Linked DNA regions of Drosophila melanogaster. Changing the gene in region 1 together with any one later gene gives a genetic interaction. Each region holds a gene or a part of one and is shown in the gene's direction. Other genes may lie near its edges.

Region 1 (7,255 bases):
GAGCGTCGGAGGAGGGAGGGGGGAATTTCTAAAACGGGAGCAGCATTTCGCGCAGCTGTAGGCGTAAATTAAAATGCATTTTACGCAACTGTGCGACAAGATCCGGGCTTTAGATCCTGCAGCTGTTGCCCCTCGTACTGCATTTTCCTAATGGCACGCTCTCAACACTTGAAAAGGACACACCCCCGCCGCTCGGAAAACTGGTATAGGATAGCTCTCTGTTTTTCGTGGAAATTTACGCATTTTCATGCTCGACTACCGTTGCACAGAACAGAAAGGGAACCCCGACCGAAAATAGATTAGCCGCTCTCAAAGGATATTGAACCCGGCCAGGACCAAGCGACACCGAAGGACTTCGCCGTGGGTCAGTTGGTGTTGGTTTGTGGGACAACTGCCGAGGGGCGCGTGCCACGATCGGGGTTTTTGGGCCAGGATAATTGCCTCAAGTGCCGACAGATTGATGACCAGCAAACTCATTGAAGTATATATTTCAATTTCGAGCTAATGGCTTAGAAGTTGATGAAATCGGAGAGTAAAGAATTATTAAATTTAAGTTTTTTGAACACACATCTATTAAGAGGTTGTTCTACGTTTGAAATATGTATTTGCTAAATTAACTTTCAATCGATATTATGTCACTCACAAAAACGAATATTCCAATATATTTTATTTATTCAAAATATTGTGAATATTGCTTTATTTATAGAAGAAGGGAACACAATTTTTGAATTGTTTAGAAAAATAAGAACGATCTATTAAATGGCATAATTCAAAAATATCAAGTTTAAGCCATATACATGTATAAGTTACTTTTAAGTTTGACCAGTACAAAGTATATAGGAATTTATAATGGGGAAGCCAAGCTATATTATAATGAATAATTATTATTATTATAATGAATAATATCAAGATATCAGGGTTGTGCTTGCACCACAATTATGAAAAATAAAGTAATGACCCAGAAGTCTGTTATCATCTATTTATAAGCAGTTTGAAACAAATTAAAACCCACTTTAAATTTTATCAAATAAATATATTACCAATATACATTTAAATTTCGAACATTACATAGCAAAAAAATGTCAATTGAAATCAACAAATTTTTGAAAATGCGAGCCATATTTTCATTAAACGAGCTTGTATTTTTTGAACCCGAACCGTTTTTTTTTTCAAGTTTAAAAAGAATTAACTAACTCTAACAAAATCTAATATTTCAGTCGGTGTAGTAAAAACATAAACATAAACGATTTCAAATGTATCCTGAATACGCGGTAAACTTGTGTTTACCAACACCGCCTCTTAGACTATTCAGGCCTGCCAGATCTCCAAAAAAATATTATTTAGATAAGTTAGTGACACAAAAGGTTTAAGTCTTAACTGCGCTTAGCTGGGCTTTAAACCCACTGCCTATTCTTTGCTAATTGGAGTATTGCAAATCAGTTTTGAATCTGATTTATTTGTCCCGCTTACCAATTTTAATTGTGTAAATTCATTTGGTTTTACTTGGCCAACTTACAAATAATAGAATAATAAAAATGAAAGCCGTCTGTTTAATTATTAAAATAATGTGAATTAATTGGATTATTAATCTGGGCGTTATTATATAGAAAAGAAACCTAACTAACCAATTGCGGAAATATCGATAGCATCGCAATAAAATCTATATTGTGCCACCTCCAATTCACACAGGTCGGTCACACTGGGCAGGCTTGCCAATTTCAAGAGCCGCGGCCACACTACTGCGAATTCTATACTGCAACTCGATCGTGCGTGTTCTGTATTTTTGGGAGTGCGTTGTTAGAAATTCGGCCACAAATAGAATCCGCTGTCCTGGAACGAGTCAGAAACCACGGGAAATTGACTTCCGGACTAAATAGCGTTCTTGTGTGTCCATCCGTGTGCGTGTGTCCGCATTCTGCAGTGTGCGTGTGTGCGAAAGAGAGAGGGCGAGCGGTGCAGCCGCAACTGGGAAATTCGATTGCCAATATTTCAGCAAGGAAGCTATGTCGAGCGGTCAGCAATTGATGGCCGATTCGCCAGCCTGCAGCTCAAGTGACCATTCGCCGCTGGCCAAAAAAAGGCGTTTAGAGTTGTTGGGTGACGGAGTGGGGGCAATGGGAATGGAAGAGGAAGAAGCCGGCGGAGCAACGAGCAGCAGTAGCAGCAACAACTACGAAAATCACGACAAAGCAGGCGGCGTTGACATTTCGGGCAAGTGCCAGAGCAAGACGACTAGCGAGCACCAGCTGGAATTGTGCGTATCGTCGTCTACCTCTGACACATGCGGCGTTAATGCTGCGGCGAAGCGAGCCGAAAAGCAGAAACTGAAACAGAGCCAAGGAAGCGGCGACGACGTTAGTACCTCGTCAGCAGTGGAAAAGGAAGGAAGCAAGCGGCCGGAGAAGCGCAATTACCTGAACACCACCACAATAGAATCGCAAGAAGCCTCCTCCAGTGCATCCGCCACTAGCAACAGCAACAACAACGTCAGCTCCAGCAACAATAACAGTAATAACAGCACTAATAACCGACAACTGGAAGGAAGCAGCAACATGGCTGGAAACAGTGCCGCCGCCGGCGGAGATATCGATGAATCGCTGTACTCGCGCCAATTGTACGTCCTGGGTCACGATGCGATGCGTCGGATGGCCAATTCGGATATCCTTCTGTCGGGACTTGGAGGACTCGGCCTGGAGATAGCCAAGAATGTGATTCTGGGCGGCGTGAAATCGATCACCTTGCATGACACAGCAACTTGTGGGGTATGTGTGTGGGGCGAAGAAAAAATCGATAATTTTCCAGGCGGACGCGGGAAATGCCCGGAAAGGCTGACTTGGCATCCCTGGTCTTAGTGAATCATTCAGTTTTTATTTGATTTATTTATCATAGACTTCGCGCGAAATAAGGTTAGGTTAACATCTCTATTTGCTTGCAAAAAATTCGTTTTGTGTGTGTAATTCGGTTTTCCTTCTTTTTCTATTTGCCTCAAAATGTCTGCGCCATGCGAAAAGTGTGTGAGCGGGACAACCGTATGCGCATCGCTCGCTGCCGTTGTGTTTGCATTCCCCTTTGCTCAACGCATTCGGTTTTGTTTTATGCACTGAAAGATTCAACTTAAGATCTATGAGTTTCTCATAAACCGTAATATATCAATTATTTAGTTAATAGCCTTTCAATTTAAAGTTTTCTTGTATCATAAAAACTTTTTTGTTCTAATGACAAATATGTCTTTGCTGTACACTCGGCACAGAACCAATTTTCCTTTGTTAGTCATGGCTCCCGTCTGCTAATTTCATCACCGTTGATATATAATATTAATGATTATTCGTTTGTCTTGCAGCTCCATGACTTGTCGTCGCAATTCTATCTCACGGAAGCCGATATCGGCAAGAATCGTGCGGAGGCCTCTTGCGCCCAGTTGGCCGAGTTAAACAACTATGTGCGCACCGTTTCGCACACGGGGCCGCTTACCGAGGAGTTCCTGCGCAAGTTTCGCGTTGTGGTACTGACCAACTCCGACGGGGAGGAGCAGCAGAGGATCGCCAAGTTTGCCCATGAAAATGGCATTGCTCTGATCATCGCCGAGACGCGCGGACTGTTCGCCAAGGTGTTCTGTGACTTTGGCGAGAGCTTTACCATTTACGATCAGGATGGCACACAGCCGATCTCCACCATGATAGCTAGTATCACGCACGACGCACAGGGAGTCGTCACCTGCCTGGACGAGACGCGCCATGGTTTTAATGACGGTGACTACGTCACCTTCTCGGAGGTGCAGGGCATGCAGGAACTGAACGGTTGTCAGCCCCTTAAGATCACAGTGCTGGGACCCTACACATTTAGCATCGGTGATACCAGCAAGTTTGGAGAATATAAGAGCGGAGGAGTGGCCACCCAGGTGAAGATGCCCAAGACCATCAGCTTCAAGCCCCTGGCACAGGCCACTGAGGAGCCGGAGTTTTTGATCTCCGATTTCGCAAAGCTGGACTCGCCGGCCACGCTGCACGTGGCCTTCAATGCCCTCTCCTGCTACCGCAAGGCCCATAATGGAGCCTTACCGCGTCCCTGGAACGAGGAGGACGCCAACAGCTTCCTCGAGGTAGTCCGAGCCAGCAGCAACGCGGAAGTCGACGAAAAACTGGTGCTGCAATTCGCCAAAATCTGCTCGGGTAATACGTGCCCGCTGGACGCGGCCGTTGGTGGAATTGTGGCCCAGGAGGTGCTTAAGGCCTGCAGTGGAAAGTTTACACCCATCTACCAGTGGTTGTACTTTGACGCCCTGGAGTGTCTGCCCACAGAGGGTGTCGAGGAGGCGGATGCCCAGCCGGTGGGCTCGCGCTATGATTCTCAGATTGCCATATTTGGCAAGAAGTTCCAGGAGAAGTTGGCTGACTCGAAATGGTTTATTGTCGGCGCCGGAGCCATTGGTTGTGAGCTATTGAAAAACTTTGGAATGCTGGGCCTGGGAACTGGCAATGGCCAGATTTTCGTCACAGACATGGATCTCATTGAGAAGTCGAATCTGAACCGGCAGTTCCTGTTCCGCCCGCATGATGTGCAGAAGCCTAAATCAATGACGGCCGCCGACGCTATCAAACGGATGAATCCGGAAGTGAATGTCACCGCATACGAGTTGCGCGTTGGCGCCGAAACAGAGAAAGTCTTTTCCGAAGATTTCTTTGGAAAGTTGGATGGTGTAGCCAATGCGCTGGACAACGTGGATGCTCGCATATATATGGATCGCAAATGCATCTTCAACCGCATTCCGCTCGTCGAGACCGGAACTCTGGGAACTTTGGGCAACGTTCAGGTGATTGTGCCCTTTGCCACCGAATCTTATAGCTCCTCCCAGGATCCCCCAGAAAAGAGTATTCCCATCTGCACGCTGAAGAACTTCCCCAATGCCATCGAGCACACTCTGCAGTGGGCGCGTGACGCCTTTGAGGGCGTCTTCAAGCAGTCTGCAGAAAATGCTGCTCAGTACATCGCCGATCCTCAGTTCACCGAGCGAATCGCCAAGCTGCCTGGTATTCAGCCTCTGGAGATCCTCGATTCCATCAAGGTAAGGATAGAATTTACTTCTTTGCCTAATATGTTGTACTTAATGGTAATTTATTTTTACAGAAAGCTCTGATCGACGACAAACCCAAGAGTTTCGCGCACTGCGTGGAGTGGGCCCGTCTTTATTGGGAGGATCAATATGTTAACCAGATTAAGCAGTTGCTCTTTAACTTCCCACCTGATCAGATCACCTCCAGTGGTCAGCCGTTTTGGTCTGGTCCCAAGCGGTGCCCCGATCCCCTGGTCTTTGATGTCAACGATCCCATGCACCTCGACTTTATCTACGCAGCCGCCAATCTTCGAGCTGAGGTCTATGGCATTGAGCAGGTTCGCAATCGCGAGACGATCGCAGAGCTGGTACAGAAGGTTAAGGTTAGTTGTTCGAGATTAATACCGTCGGGGACCATTTCTGATATTATTGATTTATAGGTGCCCGAGTTTAAACCCCGTTCGGGCGTGAAAATAGAAACCAATGAGGCAGCAGCCGCCGCCTCGGCCAATAACTTCGATGACGGCGAGTTGGACCAGGATCGCGTTGACAAGATCATTTCAGAGCTGCTAAAGAACGCCGACAAAAGCTCCAAGATCACGCCACTTGAGTTTGAAAAGGACGACGACAGTAACTTGCACATGGACTTCATTGTGGCCTGCTCAAATCTACGCGCCGCCAACTACAAGATTCCGCCAGCGGATCGCCACAAGTCCAAGTTGATTGCTGGCAAAATCATACCTGCTATTGCCACCACCACGTCGGTGCTCTCTGGATTGGCTGTGCTCGAGGTGATTAAGCTGATCGTCGGCCACCGGGATCTCGTAAAATTCAAGAACGGCTTCGCCAACTTGGCATTGCCGTTCATGGCCTTCTCTGAGCCGCTTCCTGCCGCCAAGAACACATACTACGGCAAGGAGTGGACGCTGTGGGACCGTTTTGAGGTGACCGGGGAGCTGTCGCTGCAGGAATTCCTCAACTATTTCGAGGAGAATGAGAAGCTTAAGATCACCATGCTCTCGCAGGGCGTGTCCATGCTGTACTCGTTCTTCATGCCCAAGGCCAAGTGCTCTGAGAGACTGCCGTTGCCGATGTCGGAGGTCGTGCGTCGCGTGTCCAAGCGTCGCCTGGAGCCACACGAGCGATCCCTGGTTTTCGAGATCTGCTGCAACGATGTGGATGGCGAGGATGTGGAGGTGCCCTACGTCCGTTACACGCTGCCCTAAGCCCGTCTATATTCCTAATTTAACCATTAAATTATTTTACGATCCCGTTTTGTTGTCGGCGACGCGTTTTGGAATCGCGCAGCTCCAACGAAGGAGTTACTGTCTAGCTGTTTGCATTTTAATTTTCACAACACCATTACGAGAGCAGCCCAGATCTAGAAATTATATAAAATGTGTGTGAATCCTCTAAGGAATGGCAAAATAATACGCATCATACGAAATACAAAGACTCGACTAAAAGCAACACTTAAAATGCATCTGATGAAACTCTCTGCTCAGCATAGTTGTAAAGGTAACGAATTACGAAAAACCGAAGGCGGATTTTAATCGCATTGATTAATTGGAAATTGAAAACTGAATGAGCCAGGCGGAAAATTTCTCTTCACTCATATATTTTTTTTATATGGAAGCATAAACTAATTACGTCATTGTATTAAAAGGAGTAAAGCAAATGAATAAAGCTGTATATTTCATATGGTAATCGACCTGCTAGACGACTCAGATAATTTCGTTCAGCACTTGACGTCTGGTAATCTCATTTCCCCCGCCACTTCGGAAATTAAAATTGTAATGCATACTGCTCTGCCAGTGAAGTATATAGGGGATGCCATCTATCCGTACGCCAGTCAGTTTCAGAAAGTTACGTGACACAATTAAATATTTTATGCCCTCTCAAGACGTTTATACCACCCCCGCCCCGCACCCAAGGAGGCTGCTGCCACCAAAGTGCAATTGGCAAGTGCCGTAAAGTTGCACCGCTCATGGAAAGCGTTGGGCGGAGTGGCGGCGTCCTCTTATAATTAAATATTACACGCAATGCAACTGAAGTATGGCCAAAGTTATGCAGTTTCGCATCTCACTCTTGGCCTTTTGCGGCTTTTTGGCAAACTTGCTTGAATTATGCAGTTAATGAAAACAAAGCGAGGCGAGGAAAGTGGCTGCGCCGATCAGCTTTGTATCCGTCGAATAAGTGTGTTCT
Region 2 (6,277 bases), 3.0 Mb from region 1:
TATTCCAGAGCTTTTCGTTTCGATAAAAGTTGGACTGCAGATCTGAAAGAAAGTATAATATGTAAATATCTTGAGAAGTTAATAAAATGGGTGATAAAGTAATACGACATTGGTAATTATCAAAATAGTCGGTATTCGGATTTGGAACCGGCGGAACGATGCTTCTTAGATTGATCTGATTCAATAGTTCGGTTAGATTCATTTAAAAAATCTTACATAAGCTTAAAAAACGAGAACGACACCTTTATCGTCCTAGTCCGATACACTGCAAAAATTCGCGTATCAGCGTTATTTTTATCAAAAAAATTATCTTTTTGTTACGAACGCGTAAGCAATTCAAGGTGGGATTAATCCTAAATGTGGGGATAGTTCAGCAAACTAACATTATAAAGAATATTTAATTACACACGTTACTCATCATAAAAAAGGATAACTAACCGAGTCGGTCTGGCCATGTCAATCTGGCAAGCAGATTCTACACACGACTGTGGAAGATTGTTTGAGAACGTTGCTATGCAATCGCTAATGCACAAAACTGTTACAACTACATTTTTGAAACAAGTCGGTATTTTTTCCATTTTATTGAATTATTTAGTTTATTGATCCAACGAAACGAAAGTCCTCCTCGAGTAATATCACCTCCAAAAGGGGCGACCGATGCCTGCATCTCTTATCTGAGATCATAGATCGAAGCCTACGGACATTTATCGTTTAGTGATAAAATATTTAAGTTTTTGAACATCACATTTAGCAGTTTGGAGATCGCTCCCTTACAGTTTTGAAATTGGCGGCAATAGCTTTCTGGTTCCATAACAGTTTTAGATCCGAAAGTAAGTATAATATATCTTGAGAAGTTAATCAAATGGTTGTCAGAGTAATACATCGTTGGTGAAAAAAATTTGGTTTCCATTTTACAATTATATCAAAGCAATCGGTATTCGGTTTCGAGAGCGAAGCCGTTATTTCGAAACCGTTACCGCGAACCGGTTCCCAGCGAGCCGCGGCTCGCCAGTCGCGAAAACACAACGAATGCACAATCTAGAGGTGGAGAAATATTGATGTTGGCGGGCATCAAAGCTTCCAATGTTTTTGGCGAAAAACATCGATGTTTAAAATAAAAACAACAAAATTTACCTGCTTAATTTAATGATTATTTTTTAATATTGCTTAAATAAAAAGGCAGTACTTTAAGAAAAGAAAAACAAACTTATTGTCGTCTCCGTTTTCATCAGCCGCTGGTCCAATAGTTGCTCCTATAAAACAAATTAATACAATTAAATGGAAAAGTAAACCAGTATGCATACGAGCAACTGCAAGTGCACAAATCGGGAGTTCAAAACTAACATTTCAGATATTAATCCATGTGCTATGTTATGCTTTTAATAATTGCATTAGAAAATATGGAAAATTAATTTGTACTTACAATTCATACACTTTTCTTCTCCGATGCGCAGTAGAGATGGAAAAACATCGATGTTTTCTCGAAAAACATCGATGTTTATGATTTTTCAAAAACATCGATGTTTCTCCACCTCTACAACGAACGCACAATCACAAGCGCCGCTCGCGAGAACGAGAACGGGAACTCGAAAGAACCTAGATCGCTGATCGGAGAACCGTGGAACCCGTGGAACCGTAACCGTGAAAGTGGGGAATCGAAGATAGAACGGAGAGGGTGGTAGGCCGATTCCCTCTCCCCACTGCCCGTTGAAATTCAGAATACTAAGCTCTCGGTTAAACGCGGCGAAAAAGAAAGCAAGCTCTGAGCGGCTGAAAAAAAAATGAAGTGAAATAAAACTGGGATCGCGGCACCAGCAACAAGTTTTAGTGGCTCTTCTTTGTGCGTTTCGTTCGTGTTTGCTGCCCTGCGCTTTGCTCGCCACATTCGTCGCCGACTTTTATTTTGTTTTGCCCATTTTATCAGAATCGGAGCACCTCCAAAAAAGCCCAAGACGAGCTGAGCCTCAGCTGCGTCGAGGTGAGCTGATCCACTCCGCTCCCCTTTCGTGCGCTGCCCACCGCTCCCCACCGCTCACACCCGATCCCATCCAATCCAATCCGATCCGCTCCGCTCCGAGTGCATAGTGCATGCAAAGTCGCGGGGCTGGGCTTTCGGAATTACACAACCCACATGGGGCAGCGCCAACAAAGGCCTCAGCAGCAACAATAGCGGGCAGCCAAGCATTGCCCTGCCCTCGACTTCGACCATGGCTCCCACCACCAGTCCGCCACCCAAGCTGGCCAAGTTCAAGTCCTCGTCGCTGGACCACGAGATCTACACGGCCAATCGCCGCGGCACCATTGCCACGGCCTCCAGCGACTGGAAGGCGCTCCGCGGAGGCGTCGGTGGAGGAGCAGGAGGACCCGGTAGCGTACCCAATCCCTCTAACGGACGCTCCCTTCACGCCGGCGGACCCATGACACGGGCCGCCTCCACATCCTCGCTGGCTAGCAGTACGCGCACGATGACTAACTACCAGGAGTACAAAATGGATATCATCAACCAGGTGAGGACCAGAAATGGGTGACCAGTGGCTCCGTCCTTTGCTATGGACAATTTGGGAATTATTTAGTTGAAGTCTTGAGAGTATGCTGGGACTGTTGCCTTATAAAGTAAGCGTCTGATTCAGCATATGTTCAAAAAAATTTACGAGTGTTACTCAGCCAATGGAATTGCAAGGAAGTTAAATAGGGAGATATTCACCAGCAAAGTGAGTGTTTCAGCAAGGAACTATTGAATGCCTTGGATTAGCTTTAATCTTTTGCAGAATTCTAGAATTCCGATGGGTATTCTTAAATATAAGACCAATTCGTACACATAGAGGCAGCTATGTATGTATGTATGTGGTCCAGACCAAGCAGATGTCTTCCTTATAGGCCAGAATTCTCTAAAATTATACAATTACAGTCATTTCGGTTGGAAAATTAGAAAAACTAAGCCAAGATAATACAAATTAAATTTGCAAGTGGTTTTAAAAGCATTATGAACTTTAGCGGTCAAGGCTTTGTTACAAATAATTTATATTCTTTTGACAAGTTTTCAGGGCTCATATGCATTGTTTTAATGTTGAAATTTACAATAGATACTTCTTCGATAAATAAGACTTCTTATAGTTCATAGCAATGCGCCTGGTGATATAAAAGTTTAATCAACACAAATACTTAAATTTCTTAAGAGGTTGAGGACATGTGCTTTACTTTAAGGTGTAATTATTTTAAACATGACTCGGTTTCAACCCACATTTAAATATATAGTTTTGCGTTAAAATAGTTAAAAACCTTGATAATAGTTATATATATTAGTTGTTATAGTTATTCTATTCCAGCCTTATGTTGCCACTCAATGTTTTTTTTTTAAATTATTTTAAGTAATATCTAACGTTATCAACATAGAATGAGTCAGAAAATAAACTGGTCATGCATCGGAACATGTGCACATAATTAAAACCGATTTTTGAGACATACATATAAATACAACAGTTTGGTGATTAAATATTCAGCAAGTACGCAAAATGAGAAACACAACACAAAACTAAAAGAAAAAGCTGTTCAAACAAATTGCCTAATTTCGTGGACAAATTTCGAAATTGCCAAAATGAAACGGAACAGACAACTGCAAACAGATTCCAATTTAATGTGCAGAACTGTTTGCGGTATCAACTAATTTTCGATGGCTCTGATCGAGGACGATCCATCCGAATCTCTGCTATCCACCATTTGGGTCTTGACTGTCTCAACTTAATTGATAAGGCAAATATTTTTGTTTCCACCATTCGTTTATCTGAGACTGATAAAACTATTTACTCCGCTCCTCCAGGTGAGCGACATGTAAAGTGTTTATTAAATATATTTGCCTATGTGGTTGCTTTCGCCGGGCTGATAACTTCTTGAGGAATTTATCATTAAGCGCATTGCGGAAGTTTTCTCAGAATGCAGTCCTCTAAAGTAAACGCCATTTTCTCTGACAAATCAGATGGAATGGGCCATAACCAGGCTGCATAGAGGTTTTCAAGGAAAATAATAGCAACTAAAGAAAAGGGAAGAACCGCGAAAGCGCCACGGGTGGAACCATTATAAACAAGTATTCCAAAAATAAACCGACCACTAACTATACAACCCGAAAGCCTCAGGTGATGAATTCATCGAACTCTGGCCATTCAAGTAAATCTTATGGTATTTGGTCGCACCAAACCCGCCAAAAGGAAAGAGTTGGGCGCACAAGTGTTCGCCATAACAAGATCACGTAAACAAATTGACGGATTTATTAATATTTCGCTGGGAGGCTGGACGGGTTCGGAGTAGCTTCGATAGACTTTTCAAGACACTAGCTTCAAGGCCGGTGATTTGGCATGGGCTTGATTTCTTTGGCTGGCCATGTCATAAGTCAAGTTGGCTCCAAAGTGAGTAATTGTCTGTTTACTTGGCTGCGGAATCGTTGGCGTGACGAACGGTAATTGTGCGACATAAATTGTCGAAGGAAACTTGCAACTAAATGGGTCGGAATTGAACGCAACATGGTGGGGAATGCCTTAATTACGCCAAACGTTTCGCGTCTTTCAGATTCCATAAGTAAATTTTTAGTTGTCTTAATGCCTTTCCACAGCACGTGCTGATCGCTTCTTTTGTTTAAGTCGTTGTTCAAAGTTTATTACCGCCATGTGCACCTGCCATCAGTTTGGCTGCATGTTTAGATACTCTGTAAGAGGTGTGATTGAAATAGCCCAGGTGTCTACGGAATCCTGTAAACGGATTCAGAGCGACGTAAATAGAACATATGCATGTTCGCCGGAAAACTCGAGGCAGTCGATTGATATTGTTTAAGTGGCCCGCTGATGGAGCGAAATTGCCTGGCAATGATCAAAGCACTGTAGTTAATTTGATTGTGATTGAACTTTTGGCTTTGTCGTTCTATTCCAGGGGAAATGTCTGTGTGGTCAGTACATCAGAGCGCGGCTGCGACGGGCAGGAGTCCTCAACCGGAAGGTGACACAGCGTTTGCGCAACATCCTGGACCCCGGCTCCTCGCACGTGGTCTATGAAGTTTTCCCGGCACTGAACAGCGTGAGTGTACTGCCATTCGCCATTGAATCTTTTCATAACATGGTATAATCCACAGATGGGCGAGGAACTGGAGCGGATGCACCCGCGGGTGTACACAAACATATCGCGACAGCTGTCGAGGGCCCCGTTTGGCGAGCTGGAGGACAGCGACATGGCGCCCATGTTGCTCAACCTAGTTGCCAAGGATCTTTTTCGCTCCAGCATCACCTGGGGCAAGATAATCTCGATATTTGCCGTATGCGGCGGCTTTGCCATAGACTGCGTGCGCCAGGGACATTTCGACTACCTACAGTGCCTGATTGACGGTCTGGCTGAGATCATAGAGGACGACCTGGTCTACTGGCTGATCGACAACGGCGGATGGTTGGGCCTGTCGCGGCACATCCGACCCCGGGTCGGCGAATTTACGTTCTTGGGATGGTTGACGCTGTTCGTGACTATCTCTGCAGGCGCATATATGGTCTCAAACGTGTGTCGGCGCATTGGAGGTCAACTGTATTCGCTGCTGTTCTAGATTCGCTTGGGATCGCGTCGTTAAGAAATACAATCGTACCATTTAGTCAATGAGAGCTTCAAATCATTCCTGCTTCCATGGGCACCAGTCGTTTAGTAGTATGTAACGGACCCTGTTTTACGTATAATATTGTTATTCCCTTTCTCCTCTTTTTGTACATACAAGGCTATTCTAGGCGCAATAAAGCGTGTGTTGTAAACTTTTTTTTCGAATTTGGCGCGAAGTCTGGGTGTTATGCACGGAACTGCATTACTTTATGTCCGTGTTTAGCAACACTGGAAACGCCGTGGAGGTGCCAATATTTTGAGTACGACAATTCGTCTTTAAAATGTTATAGTGCCCAATCTTTGACTGTTGAACAGTGTATCTGTTACCAGAAATTAAAGACGAATCGACTAACATAATCTCTCAGTTAAACAAAAAATATAAAAGTTAACTTTGCTGACAAAAGTTTTTATAATTTTGTAATTACTGGTTCAATGTTCTAGTCTTTAAAATAAATGTTATTAACATTTTAAATTTTGATTGTTAGCCTTGCCACCCAGCTAAAACGCAAATACTTACCCAGCCCTGTGGCAACGCTTCGATTTCCAAAAACCATTTGTTATTATTGCTGTGGATCTGCCCATTATTATTTGTTGTAAATAAAGATTGGAGCAAATTATGCCATGTCATGTAAGTGCACTGATTCCGTGGGTATGA
Region 3 (4,674 bases), about 14 Mb from region 1:
TCCTCCTTCTCATCGACGCCGCCTTCTCCTTCGCCGTCGTCTTCGAACTCGTTCTGGTACGGCTCCATTTCCACCACATGATCGTCCTCGATGTGGCGCTGCAGGCATTTCTGCGTCAAGAAGATGTGGTCACAGAACTCGCAGGCATGGCGCTCGCTCTGCTTGTGCTGGTCCATGTGGCTCTCGACACTGTCGATATCTTCGATCTGCTTGCGACACATGGGACATTTCAGGCTGGCGGTGGCATGAATGAGCGCATGATCCAGTAGGTCGTTATAGTTGCTGTACGACACCTTGCACTCACTGCACACGAACGAGGCGTCGGAAGTCTGCGTGTGCGTGCGCAGGTGGCGCGAGAGATGATGCGACAGCATGTAGGACTTGTGGCAGTACTTGCAGGGATAGGCTCTCTTCCCGGCGTGGGCAACCAGGTGGCGGGCCAGCTTGGAAGCGGTGGAAAAGCTTCTCTCGCAATGCTGACAGGGGAAGGGAAGATTGGTGGAGTGGACTGTCTGAAAGTGGACATAATCGTTAGCCGGGGCAATCCCAAATATGCTTGTCAACCCACCTCATGACGCTCCAATCCCTGCTTGAAGGCAAACGACTTGGTGCAGACACCGCATTGGAACGGACGCTTCTTCTGATGTCGCTCGGCGTGCTTCTCCATCTCCTGGCGCGAAAGGAAGGGCTTCTCGCAGTACACGCAGATGAACTTGGGTACGTCCGTGTGGGTGCGCTCGTGGCGATGGAGCAATGCCTTCCGTGTGAAGGCTTTCGAGCAGATGGCGCACTTGAATGGCCGCTCGCCGGTGTGCACAAAGTTGTGCTTGGCCAGGTCGTACTTGGAGAAGAAGCTCTTCTCGCACAGGAGACACTGGAAGCTGCGCGAGCGAGTGTGATTCAGCCGATGGATCTCGAGCAGCTGCTGCAGCGGAAAGGAGCGTTCGCAATCGGGACAGGGGAACACATCGGTGGCCACCTTCTCGGCGTTCTTGGTCGGATCATCTTGATCGTCCAATGGCAGATCCGAGTCCAGAACCTCTGTCACTATGGCCACATTGCCACTATCATCTCGCTTGACTTTGGGTGTGGCCAGGCGCGGTTCCACCGGAGCGGCGGGTCCCTTGTTCAAGATCCTAATCGAGGACTTGTTCAGCACCTTCGGCTTGACGGGTGATGCCTTCTGGGGGATATCGGGGAACTCCTTCTCTAGCTCACTGGCCATATCCTCCAGCATGCTCTGCACATCGTCCATGGACAGCTCCTGGTTGTTATCCACCTTCAGCTCATAGGCGTGCGAACGACGTGGCACTGGAGAGGAACCGGCTACCGTCCTGGGGGTCACCATGGCGCTCTCCAGCACCTGGACGTCCTCGATGATCACCTGACTACTGGATTTGGCCATTGTGTTCAGCAGCTTTTTGGGCGTTTCGCTTGGCTCGGCTGTCTTTGCTGGCACGACCAACAACTTCTTGGAAGCCACCATCGTCATGGGCGCACGGGGCTTCTCCAGCGGCGATGGCCAGTTACCCGTGAGCGGATACTGGCGCAGGAGGGTCTCCGCCCGCTTGCACATCTGCTTGAAGCGGTAGCAGTGCTCGAAGAGGAGGCGGCACTCCAGACAGATGTGCCCCGGCATTCCGTCGCCGGCGTAGACCTGTTTTTAATGTTAGATTAGATAAATGTGTGAGTGACTAGGAAGCTACATTTATTCGGGGAAGTCCGTGCTTAAGCCAAATAATAAGGTAATATTCGTGGAACACCCCTATATGTTTTTCGCTACATAATAAATTAAACGCCATAAATGTCTCTTTCCCTTAAAATGAACAATATAATGTTAGAGTTTAAATTTAAACAAAGGCGCCGAGGACCAGAACACCCTCTACAAATTAATCGATGGCCACCAATCGATGATTAGTGCTATCGACGAGCGGCCATCGCCGCTTGGCGGCAAGTGCATACACACGACTACATGCAATCGCAGTTTGTTTTCGCCGCTCAGAGCACGCTTAACCTCCGTTAATTGATTGATTAAACACGTCCGACTGTGAGCCATAAAAGGACATTCGCTCGATCGAAAGCCGACAAAAGCTGGCTGAGAAGCGCAAAACAGCTGCGCTGCGCAAAGTTTGGCCAACGCAGAGCAATAGAAAACAGAAGCAGTGTCAGAATAAAACAAGAATCAGACCAAAAAGGGCGCAACAACTGCGGAGAGAGAAAAGGAAGGAAAGAGCAGCGCGTGAGCGAGGGAGGAGCAGGAGGGAGCGAACAAAAGGCAAGAGGAAACACAAGGAGAAACGCAAACAATCAAAACAAGAACTTAAGCAAGAAAAGGGGCGCAAGATGACCGACGAGTGCGTAACCAGAAACTACGGAGTAGGCATTCGCAGCCCAAATGGATCGGAAAATCGGGGCAGCTTTATAATGGCTGATAATACCGATGCCAAGGGCTGTACGCCGGAGTCTCTTGTTGTTGGTGGTGCAACTGCAGCGAGGTGAGTCCATGTGCCTCGCTCTCTCCCTCTCCCATCTCTCTCTTTATGTTTCTGTGTTTTGTTATCAATGCAAGTACTGGCATAACTGCTATATCCTAGTTTCAAATGCAGCATATAAAGCTCTTTTTTTTTTATTTATTCCATTTTCATTCCACAATCTATTATTTTTATATTATTTATACTGTCTATTGCCAACATTTAAAATCAATGTGTCAATCTGTCTTTATAATGTTGTTAAAATGGCTGAAGTCACAAAGTTTGAAAGCACTTGACTTTAATTCTATTGTTCTATTTAGTCTTATTCACAAATATATTTGAAAATAATTACATAAATAAATACCCAATCATCGATTATTTCGCCGATTACCTTATCTTATCATGCTGCTTCCCAAATGGCTATTATAATTCTGATTTCTTTTTCCCCAGCCCCTTGCCGGCCAACAAGTTTGTGGCTCGAATGCCCGTGGAACGATATGCAAGCGAATACAACATGAGTCACAAGCACCGCGGAGTTGCGCTGATCTTCAACCACGAATTCTTCGACATACCCTCGCTGAAGAGCCGCACCGGAACAAATGTCGATGCCCAAGAGCTGAAAAAGGCCTTTGAAAACCTGGGATTCGCGGTGTCCGTGCACAAGGACTGCAAGTTGAGGGACATCCTGAAGCACGTGGGGAAGGCCGCCGAGTTGGACCACACGGACAACGACTGCCTTGCGGTGGCCATACTCTCGCACGGGGAGCACGGCTACCTGTACGCCAAGGATACGCAGTACAAGCTGGACAACATCTGGCACTACTTCACTGCCACCTTCTGCCCCTCGCTGGCGGGCAAGCCGAAGCTGTTCTTCATCCAAGCCTGCCAGGGCGATCGCTTGGACGGAGGCATCACTCTGGAGAAGGGCGTTACCGAGACGGACGGGGAGTCCTCGACGAGCTACAAGATACCCATACACGCCGACTTTCTCTTCTCCTACTCGACCATTCCGGGTAAGGAATATGATTAGGTAACTATTTTAGTGAATTTCACTAGCAATCTCGTCCTGTTAGGCTACTTCTCCTGGCGCAACATCAACAATGGCTCCTGGTACATGCAATCGCTGATCCGCGAGCTGAACGCCAATGGCAAAAAGTACGACCTGCTCACCCTGCTTACATTCGTTAACCAGCGCGTAGCCCTAGACTTTGAGTCGAACGTGCCCGCCACACCGATGATGGATCGCCAGAAGCAAATACCGTGCCTCACCTCCATGCTGACGCGCATACTGCGCTTCGGCGACAAGCCGAACGGCAATAAGGCTGGCTAGGAAGAGATCTCCCTTCGAAGAAGAACTTTCAACAGAGGTTGTACAACCATCGCCCGCAATCATTCACGTTGGATTCCAATTCACTTCAAGTTTAGTTTTAGCTGACGCGTGCGATTATCCCGATGGATATTGAAGCACCCGACTCCCTTTCATTCATTCCCCTGCCTTTCCCATGCCCATTTCGGCCTTATCATTGACGAAATTCGTTACCCATTTACCCACTAGATGACTTCCGTATGCATAAGCGAGACCTTGCCAATAGAAAACCCACAAATTTGAGATAAGATAATACAATGAAGATTTATACATACATACATACTTTTATGTACACGCAAACATTTATATTTGATATGAATAAAAATGAATTAAAAACATAGCAAGGTATCTCCCCAATTGAACGTAGATGGGTAATTTCGATCTAAGCAACTTTGTTTGAAGACAGGAGCTGTCTGGGCCAGATTGAGTACGTTGATATGGGAAATAAAAGATAACAATGAAGACTTGGTTGGCTGAATCAGTGAAATTGTACGAAACTTTAGTGGAATTCAAATTAGCATTATTAAGAGTGATTAATTAAGATTTTTCTCACTCTAATTTTATTAATTTCCTAAATTTTATATTTATTTCCTAATTTTATAATTTAGGAAATTAATAAAATTAACCAAATGATGATTTTTGCGTAAATATAAGTATCGAAGGAACTATTAATGCATTTAAATATGATCTCGATTTGAATTTAGCGCCAAAAACAACTGACAGCTGTCAGGGCGATCAGCTGTTGACGCACTAGTGTGCGTGTGGCGCAGTACAGTTGCCCCAAATCGCAGAAATTTTCATTTTTCTTTGCACAAGAGGAAAAAGGGAAAGCCCAAT

What was found.
Region 2: of Uba1 (region 1) and Debcl, changing one suppresses a phenotype caused by changing the other (phenotypic suppression), as found in Drosophila melanogaster (one study listed by BioGRID).
Region 3: of Uba1 (region 1) and Dcp-1, changing one enhances a phenotype caused by changing the other (phenotypic enhancement), as found in Drosophila melanogaster (one study listed by BioGRID).

Annotation. Positions count from the first base shown.
Region 1 is NT_033778.4:9,687,789-9,695,043, reverse strand, and holds Uba1 (ubiquitin activating enzyme 1), read left to right. Parts: upstream 1-1,715; 5' UTR 1,716-2,003; coding exon 2,004-2,762; intron 2,763-3,340; coding exon 3,341-5,062; intron 5,063-5,124; coding exon 5,125-5,433; intron 5,434-5,490; coding exon 5,491-6,276; 3' UTR 6,277-6,755; downstream 6,756-7,255.
Region 2 is NT_033778.4:6,647,072-6,653,348, forward strand, and holds Debcl (death executioner Bcl-2), read left to right. Parts: upstream 1-1,582; 5' UTR 1,583-2,207; coding exon 2,208-2,507; intron 2,508-4,917; coding exon 4,918-5,061; intron 5,062-5,116; coding exon 5,117-5,575; 3' UTR 5,576-5,771; downstream 5,772-6,277. Other genes in the region: Opbp (Optix-binding protein), read left to right, coding at 6,244-6,250.
Region 3 is NT_033778.4:23,549,380-23,554,053, forward strand, and holds Dcp-1 (death caspase-1), read left to right. Parts: upstream 1-1,933; 5' UTR 1,934-2,343; coding exon 2,344-2,495; intron 2,496-2,921; coding exon 2,922-3,484; intron 3,485-3,544; coding exon 3,545-3,801; 3' UTR 3,802-4,168; downstream 4,169-4,674. Other genes in the region: pita, read right to left, coding at 1-512, 569-1,657. UniProt on the Drosophila melanogaster protein: Involved in the activation cascade of caspases responsible for apoptosis execution. Proteolytically cleaves poly(ADP-ribose) polymerase (PARP). Loss of zygotic DCP-1 function causes larval lethality and melanotic tumors.